Arabidopsis thaliana: one gene and its partner. The protein of the gene in region 1 interacts with the protein of each later gene in a pairwise test. Each region holds a gene or a part of one and is shown in the gene's direction. Other genes may lie near its edges.

What was found. Proteins that work in one complex are often made in the same cells at the same time.
Region 2: the proteins of CPK15 (region 1) and ABCG8 interact in a protein complementation assay, tested with the Arabidopsis thaliana proteins (one large-scale study listed by BioGRID).

Annotation. Positions count from the first base shown.
Region 1 is NC_003075.7:11,639,217-11,644,282, forward strand, and holds CPK15 (calcium-dependent protein kinase 15), read left to right. Parts: upstream 1-1,585; 5' UTR 1,586-1,630; coding exon 1,631-2,399; intron 2,400-2,760; coding exon 2,761-2,904; intron 2,905-2,989; coding exon 2,990-3,142; intron 3,143-3,240; coding exon 3,241-3,353; intron 3,354-3,434; coding exon 3,435-3,602; intron 3,603-3,684; coding exon 3,685-3,812; coding exon of another isoform or gene 3,813-3,816; exon of another isoform or gene 3,817-3,894; coding exon 3,895-3,994; intron 3,995-4,081; coding exon 4,082-4,162; coding exon of another isoform or gene 4,163-4,171; exon of another isoform or gene 4,172-4,241; coding exon 4,242-4,271; 3' UTR 4,272-4,546; downstream 4,547-5,066. Other genes in the region: AT4G21926 (uncharacterized protein), read right to left, coding at 500-549, 699-754; AT4G21930 (senescence regulator (Protein of unknown function, DUF584)), read left to right, coding at 677-1,228.
Region 2 is NC_003076.8:21,419,044-21,423,558, reverse strand, and holds ABCG8 (ABC-2 type transporter family protein), read left to right. Parts: upstream 1-1,843; 5' UTR 1,844-2,013; coding exon 2,014-3,783; 3' UTR 3,784-3,969; downstream 3,970-4,515.

The DNA of each region.
Region 1 (5,066 bases):
GCATTTGCCATTCATATATTTCACGTATGCTTGGCTAAGCTTAACGACTATTGTACATACTAGGACGTGCACAAATCTCTAAATGGTACCATGATTTTAGTTATACTTCAATACTGTGAATGAGGGTTTTAAATGACAAGAATATCAGAAGTTTCACGGACTATATGGATTAATATAGATTTGATATAAAATTCCTTACTTATCAAAATTAATCATCGTGTGTCTCACAAATCTATATTGAAGCTACTGTAGAAATGTTGTTAGAATGCATGATGGTACGTCGGCAAGTAAGACATCACATTGTATATGATTGAAATTACTTTTAGAATGGGAAAAAATAAGTCTGAAGTTACTAGCTCTCGTCTAAAATGCTGAAAGAAATACAAAATAGTAGTGCGTCGTTATCTAAATGGTTCTTTTACGTGGACTATGACATCTTCTTCTGATCTTACCGAACATAACTGAGTAAAACCACACACAAAAAGCAATACCTATTCACCTTTAGTGTATATATATTCACACACACACATGCTCATCCTCATCCCCCACCTTCACTTCCAAATATATTTTGAAAAACCCAACGAAAAAGTATTAATTTTGATAACTAGGTGAATAAACGTAATTTACGATTTAAATCACAGCGGGTATACAATTTTCTTAGGTAACCAAGAGAGATATGGGCAAAGGTCGGAGCTTACCGATTAGTCGAAGCGAGAGGTTTCTTGGGAGCCATCAGCAGTCCGATGACCATCATGTGGACGGAGAAACTACCTTTGAGCTGGAGCTCATGGAAGAGGATGTCTGGTCGGTGGTCGAGCCTGACGAACCAAAGGAACTAGGTGCGTGGAACGCACGCTCTCTCGAGGCCAGTGGCAGTGAATGGAGACGGAAGGGAGGACGCGTGAGTGACCTGACCGTTCCGAGTGATGGACAGAGGAAGAGACACGTGGCGACTTCTGCGCCGGTGAAAGTTCCTGACTGGAGCAAGATCCTAAAGGTGGAGTCCGTCAAGTCAATGCATAATAATAATAACGATAATGATAATGCTGACGTGGCGGATTGTGATTGGGAGAGTGCGATGGTACCGCCTCATGAATACGTGGCCGCGCGTAGCCGTAACGGTGACGGTGGTTCGTCCGTGTTTTTGGGCGTGGGAAGAACGTTAAAAGGACGTGACATGAGACGGGTCAGAGACGCCGTGTGGAGCCAAACCGGGTTTTATGGTTAATTTTACGTAATTAATTTGATCATTAATATTTGATTGTAGTATATGATTTGTCCATAGAGTTGAAGTAATTAATTAAGCACTATACAATAACTAGTGTAATCATCATTTATTTAAAATCACTCGTCTATTCTACATGTAATTTAACATTGATCAACCAAATTCAATATCAAAAAAATTAATTCAACGGTCTTTCTCTTAAACTCTAGCTTTGATTAGAATAATCAAGAATTTAAGATAGCTGAAAATGGAATATTTCCGTGTAAAAATTAAATTAAAACCGTTAATGTCGGCGGGACATAAATGGTAATAAAAAAAAACTCGTGAGAAAACATAAATTTCCCAATCGGACTTACTTCTCCTCTAACCGAGAACACAAGAAATTCTATTAAAAAAAACCTAAAAATGGGTTGCTTTAGCAGCAAACACCGAAACACAGAGAGTGATATCATCAATGGCAGCGTACAGAGCTCAATTCCGACAAATCAACCTGAAAACCATGTCTCTCGTGATGTTCTCAAGCCTCAGAAACCTCCTTCTCCTCAAATTCCGACAACAACCCAATCAAATCATCATCACCAACAAGAATCCAAACCCGTTAATCAGCAAATCGAAAAGAAGCACGTTCTAACACAACCATTGAAACCAATCGTTTTTAGAGAAACAGAGACAATTCTAGGCAAACCCTTTGAAGAAATAAGGAAACTTTACACGTTAGGTAAAGAATTAGGTCGAGGCCAATTTGGTATAACCTACACTTGCAAAGAGAATTCAACAGGCAACACATACGCTTGCAAATCAATACTCAAGAGGAAACTAACGAGAAAGCAAGACATAGATGATGTGAAGAGAGAGATTCAGATAATGCAGTATTTGTCTGGACAAGAGAACATTGTTGAGATCAAAGGTGCTTATGAAGATAGACAATCGATACATTTGGTGATGGAGTTGTGTGGTGGTAGTGAATTGTTCGATAGGATTATAGCTCAAGGACATTACTCTGAGAAAGCAGCTGCTGGTGTTATTAGATCGGTTTTGAATGTTGTTCAGATTTGTCATTTCATGGGAGTGATTCATCGTGATCTCAAGCCTGAGAATTTTCTGCTCGCTAGTACTGATGAGAATGCTATGCTTAAAGCTACTGATTTTGGATTGTCTGTGTTCATTGAAGAAGGTGAGTTTGTGTGATCATATCTCTTGTTCTGCTTTTTAGTATATATATGCGAATGTTTTAGATATCTTAAGATTCTGATGAATGTTGGAGTTATATTGTGGATATAGATTTTGTTAAGAATAGTCTGTATCTTAAGAATCTTGTTTCATTTAGTGATTTAGTAGATAGTGGTAAGCTTGAAATCAGAGGTTTTGCTAGTTTTGTGTGAACTTGAGAATGTGTGTCAATGGATTATTATAGAACTTGTGTGTTCTTTTCCTTTCCTTATTGTCAAATTATGTCAGTTTAGTTAGTTAGTTGATGATCTTGTGTTCATATGCTTAATGTGTTTTGTTTCTAAACCGTAAAACAAAAATTGCAGGGAAAGTTTATAGGGATATAGTAGGAAGTGCTTACTATGTTGCTCCTGAAGTATTAAGAAGAAGTTATGGAAAAGAAATCGATATTTGGAGTGCAGGGATTATTCTATACATCTTGCTTTGTGGTGTGCCTCCTTTTTGGTCTGGTAATAAAATCTGACCAATTCTTTGATTTGGTTTATCCTTTTAATTATGTTGTTTATTTGTGTTGTTGTTGTGGTTACATTGTAGAAACTGAGAAGGGGATATTTAATGAGATTATAAAGGGAGAAATTGATTTTGATAGCCAACCATGGCCTTCTATATCTGAGAGTGCTAAAGATCTTGTGAGGAAGTTGCTTACTAAGGACCCTAAGCAACGAATCTCAGCGGCACAAGCTCTTGGTAAAGTCACATTGGTCTCTCTAAGTGCGGTTTTGTAGTTGACGTACTTTTCAGTGCTTTACTAATCTGTAGTGATCCTTGTGGTGTTGTTTTTTCAGAACATCCTTGGATCAGAGGAGGAGAAGCACCGGACAAGCCTATTGATAGTGCTGTTTTATCTCGGATGAAGCAATTCCGAGCAATGAATAAGCTTAAAAAGCTAGCTCTAAAGGTAAAAACAAATTTCTATCTAGAAGTAGCATTTTCTTCTATATTCCCTGATCATTGGTTCTGTTTCTGATCTGTTTTGCAGGTTATTGCAGAGAGTCTCTCGGAAGAGGAAATTAAAGGTCTTAAAACCATGTTTGCGAATATGGATACTGACAAAAGCGGCACAATCACTTATGAAGAACTGAAAAACGGGCTAGCTAAACTTGGCTCTAAACTCACTGAAGCTGAAGTGAAGCAACTCATGGAAGCCGTAAGTATTGCCATCCTATTTGCTCTGCTTCTTATGTTACTTATTATTCTAACAAAAGACTTTTATTTTATATATGTTTCAGGCTGATGTAGATGGTAATGGAACAATTGACTACATCGAATTTATCTCAGCAACGATGCATAGATACAGATTTGATCGAGATGAACACGTATTCAAAGCCTTCCAATACTTCGACAAAGACAACAGCGGGTAAGTTTAGTCCCTTGAGGAACAAGGTAAATATAGACTTGACGCTACTTTAAGAAACAAATTTGGATTTTTCTTAACACAGGTTTATCACAATGGATGAGTTGGAGTCAGCCATGAAAGAGTATGGTATGGGAGATGAAGCTAGCATCAAAGAAGTCATAGCGGAAGTCGATACAGATAACGTAAGTTTTGTTTTCCCTCTACACAGCATCAAAAAGGTTATGAACAAGTCTTAAGCCAAGATTGAGATTAATGGGTCTCTTTTGCAGGATGGAAGAATAAACTATGAAGAATTTTGTGCGATGATGAGAAGTGGTATCACACTGCCACAACAAGGGAAAATTCTTCCAGTCCAATGACTGATAGATAAATCGAGAAGCCTTGATAGAGGAACTTAAAAATTAATTAGATATCCAACATTTTTTACAGCCGTGCAAAAGAGTTGCTGACTTAAACTAGATACTAGTTGTGTTGTCCAATAAAAACAAGTGGCCTTTAATTTCTTTCTCTTATCTGATATGTCTTGTCCAAAGTTTTGGTTACTTTAGAGTACCAGCAAATTACTTTCGGAGTTATACATGTGTGCCCAATAAAGAAGTTGTAGTATAGTAGTAACATCATGTTATATCTCATACTTTCATCACTTGGAAAATATTTCAGAGATGTAGATTATATACATATATAAATGTATGTATAAAGAGAAAAGTGGGTTTTAAGAAAAAGAATTCACCTTCTGGATCCAAATGAATTGTGATACCGTGATCCCCATAAGCCTCCCAAAAAAAATTCTTTCGGCAATTTATTAACAACGTAACCGTCGATTCTCACATTCCCAAGGTGTCCCTCTTTGGGGAAAACTAAAGAGATTTCGTCATGTTTCAACCAAAACTCGCTAACTGCATGAAGTTTTTTGGTCGGTTGGAATTTTGGCTCCATGTTTATATGATCTAAGTGGGCAAAAGACCAAACTACTCATGTGTGATCATATTTTCCTAGTCTATTTATAACTTTTTGAACCATACTTTACGTTATACAAAACCCTAGTACTTATGGAAAGTTATAAAAAAAAAAATCTATTGAAAATAAGAAAATGCTCATATACACATAAGGTTAACTGTTCGATTTACATAAAATTTATAGATACTAAACCCTAAATTCACAAAGTATCTCATCCGCTGCGGACGAAACCATGTCCTATGATCCGGTCGAAGAATATTCAAGTAAGATCTTTCTCTCTTTGTCGAAATTGTTTGT
Region 2 (4,515 bases), on another chromosome or scaffold:
ACAGCTTAAGTTATATTACCTCCTAATTATAAGACGAGTTTATATGCCGTGGGATGCTTCCGAAGTAGTAATAGTGATGAGCATAAAACAAACTCAACGCGTGCAATGGATCAGTCTCATAACATTCTGTGCAGAATCATAATACAAGATCCGCTCGAAACTCAAAAAACAAAATAACACATTCACTTCTCTTTGGAGTTTTTCTTTTCTTTTTCTTTTGTCTAAACAATAATCATGATCACTATCATGTCAATTAATACAGAAATAAATAATCAACACTATCAATATCATGTCGAGAACAACCACCTCACAAGGAAGCAAAGAGCAATCGACGCCGGAGAACCATACACGTGGCCATGTTTAAAAGTCCCACATGAGGAAGAATACGTTGCACTTTCAAAACGACACCGTTTTCTACTACATAGAAGTATAGAACAAAAAGGAACTTCTTGTTCTTGACAAAAAAAAAAAAAAGGAACTTCTTGTTTAGTTTCATAAGACTTTTCAAGTAGATTTGGTTGTCCCCTCTTCTTAGATTTTCTTTAGATGCTAACGTAGGACACATGTCTCCGACCAATTTAGCTTAATAATGTTTTCAAGTTTATTTGTCCGACGAAAAAAATGATCTGTCTGTTTATGTATGTACACAATGTCCTAATCATCGCAAATTGTATTATAGATTACCTGTATTTAGCCATATATTTGTTCGAAAGTTATAATTAATTAACGAACATGGTAGTTTAAGTTGAGGTTCTTTTACATTACTCGAGGTCTCTATATACTAATCATGGGATTTTGAATGCATTGCATGTGACTGTTTGTGATTAAGGGCATATTACTATATCTTATTTATAGACTTATTTGAAATAAGAAGAATTGGAGTAATTCATACTTCGGCAAAAATATTTAACAAACAAGAAACAAATTTCATTATGAAAATGTAACTAATGTGGAACAAAATCCAAGGAAATTGGAATTTGCAAGTGGAAATGAATCATCATTCATAAACAAAATGAATCATCATTTAAATGGTTCACTTGAGGTGCCATCTGAGCTAAGATGGTAGAGTAAGAGCTAATTTGAGATCTTTGTGGAGAGAAGCGAGAGAAATTGATGTGTGAGAGAGAACACGATTAATGGACTTAGTTTTGGATCAATATTTGGAAAAATGTCAAAAAGAATTGTGAATTTTTAAATTTGGACGAAAAAATGAACTTGTGAAATGTCATTTAAATTACGAAATTTTGTTTGGTTTTTGAATAAAATGGTCAAATTTTGTTGACTAGGCCATTTTGGTCTGCTAACAGAAAAATAACGACATGCCCTGACCATTTTTTTCAGAAATCAAATAAAATTTTGTGATTTAAATAACATTTCACAAGTTTATGTTTTTTTCGTCCTAAATTTAAAAGTTCGTGATTTCTTTTGACATTTTTTCCAATCGATATTGGACAATGTTTTAGTTTGAGAATGGGAACATTATCTACAAGACTACAATTCCATTTTATTATTATCTCAATAAGTGGCTTTGTCTATCCAATTTGGTTCTCGTTTATTTATTTACAGGGCTACATATGAGTTTCATAAAGCCCGTAATGTATAGGCCTATGTAAATTTTCAAGCCCATAAGCTACATTCTCTATTTTTTATTTTGTCGTAAATTAGATCGAAAATTATAAAAACATTACGATTTTTTTTTTGTTTAGAGATTGTATTCGAATTCGAAGGTGATGTATATGTGGAGAAAAAAAAGAAAAATAATATTTATTTGAGAGATTTTTGACCCAAAACTCTACCGATATACACATATACATTTCGAAGGTTAAAACAATATACTGCAAAAATCCAAAAAATCTTAGTGAAAGAAAACAACCCAAAAATGTAAAATTAGGTTTTTGGCTTACAACATTTACATCATCACAAGACCAAATAAAAACTTAATTATATAAATCTCATTCACTACACTCTTCAACGTCTTAAACTCTTACAAGTTAGAACTTAGAACCATTCTCTATGGAAATACCTCCATCACCTCCGCCGGAGACGGCGGCCTACACATTAACCACCTCTTCAATCTCCTACACCATACCAAAAACCTCTCTCTCCCTCCTCCGCTTCCCGGCGACTGAGCCACCCTCCTTTATCCTCCGCAACATCACTCTCACCGCTCATCCAACCGAGATCCTCGCCGTCGTTGGCCCTTCCGGCGCCGGAAAATCAACTCTCCTTGACATTCTCGCCTCTAAAACCTCCCCAACTTCCGGTTCAATCCTCCTTAACTCCATTCCCATTAACCCTTCCTCTTATCGAAAAATCTCCTCTTACGTTCCCCAACATGACTCTTTCTTCCCTCTCCTCACCGTCTCCGAGACCTTCTCCTTCGCTGCTTGTCTCTTGCTCCCAAACCCATCAATAGTTTCTGAAACCGTAACCTCTCTTCTATCAGAGCTTAACCTAACACATCTTTCCCACACAAGACTCGCTCAAGGCTTATCCGGTGGCGAAAGAAGAAGAGTCTCGATAGGGTTAAGCCTCCTTCACGACCCTTGCTTTCTTCTCCTCGATGAACCCACTTCGGGTTTAGACAGTAAATCCGCTTTTGACGTCATTCACATCCTCAAATCCATCGCTGTGTCAAGACAACGGACCGTGATATTGTCCATTCACCAGCCTAGCTTCAAGATTCTGTCTATCATCGATCGGTTGTTACTTCTTTCAAAAGGAACTGTTGTGTACCACGGAAGACTTGACTCCCTCGAAGGTTTCTTGCTCTTCAAGGGATTTACCGTCCCTCCGCAGCTCAATTCCCTTGAATATGCAATGGAAATACTTCAAGAACTACGAGAATCCGACGGAAACACCGATGCTACTGCTCTCCCTTCAATCGAAAACCGGAAACAGAGAGAAAAACAGAGTATTGTTCGATATAGAAAATCAAGAATCACCGAGATAAGCCTTCTCGCGAGAAGATTCTGGAAGATCATTTACCGGACAAGGCAACTACTTCTAACCAATGCATTAGAAGCCCTTGTAGTTGGTCTTGTCCTAGGAACTATCTACATCAACATCGGAATCGGCAAAGCAGGAATTGAGAAAAGATTCGGTATGTTCGCCTTCACGCTCACTTTTCTCCTCTCTTCAACAACCGAAACCCTCCCGATCTTCATCAACGAGCGTCCAATTCTTCTCAGGGAGACTTCGAGTGGTATTTACAGACTCTCCTCTCACATTCTCGCAAATACACTCGTATTCTTGCCGTACTTGTTCGTTATCTCAATCATTTACTCTGTTTCGGTCTATTTCCTCATTGGTCTCTGCCCCACATGGCAAGCTTTTGGGTACTTCGTTCTCGTGATATGGATCATTCTCCTAATGGCGAACTCTTTTGTTCTCTTCTTGAGCTCTCTTGCCCCAAATTACATTACGGGAACCTCTCTTGTGACAATTCTTCTAGCGGCTTTCTTCTTGTTTTCCGGTTACTTCATTTCCAAGGAAAGTCTTCCCAAGTACTGGCTTTTCATGTACTTCTTCTCAATGTATAAGTATGCATTGGATGCACTTCTGATAAACGAGTACTCGTGCTTAGCCTCCAAGTGTTTGGTCTGGTTGGAGGAAGCTCAAACAAAGATCTGCATGGTTACTGGAGGTGACGTGTTGAAGAAGAAAGGACTTCATGAGAAACAGAGGTGGTTTAATGTTTATGTTTTGTTAGGGTTTTTCGTACTTTATCGTGTGTTGTGTTTTCTTGCTCTCCTTAGAAGAGTTTCTGGTTCAAAGAGGTAAGTTTTTTTTTTTTTTACATTTGTTTCTCACACTGATCAATCTATGTTAACTTAACAAAATATCTCCGGATCGATCATTGATGTGTTGGAACTGTTATAAAGTCTTTCGTAGACATTCGAATTCGGGATCAATTATTCAACTTATATATTCCTTTCTTTCTTTTTCACGTTTCAATGTTAACTAGGTGTTTGCTATGTAGAGACATGTCACTTTCGAAAAATGAGAGGTTAAATTCAACGTTTTGTAGACCTAGCCTGTCGATTGCACTATTTTTCAAAATAGTTTATAAGAAAAATCTTGACATCTAGTTTCACTCAGTTATGTATGTACATCACATTATGGACCCATAAAAGTTAAAACTTTGCTATAGAAAGGGGAAAAACGTCAATAATATGATGTGGACACGATTACTTCTCTCTCTATCACAAGAAACCGGAATAAGTACCATCAGTCCATAGATTGATCCACCAACACTTGTTTAAATATAATTCTAATGACTGTATTTATATGGATATTGAATATTATGGGCTAGTTAGTTACTCGTTTATAAACTAAGTAACCAAAAGAAATAGTATATAGAGCACTCAAATCAAATCATTTTGAACTCAGGCTAAGATTTAGGTGGGGACAAGGTAGACACATAGATGGCATAGAAGAGTCGCTTTGGTTAACTTGTAGCTTGGAGACAAACCTTGGTCTTCACGGGTCTCCATCTTCTTCTCTTAACAAAAG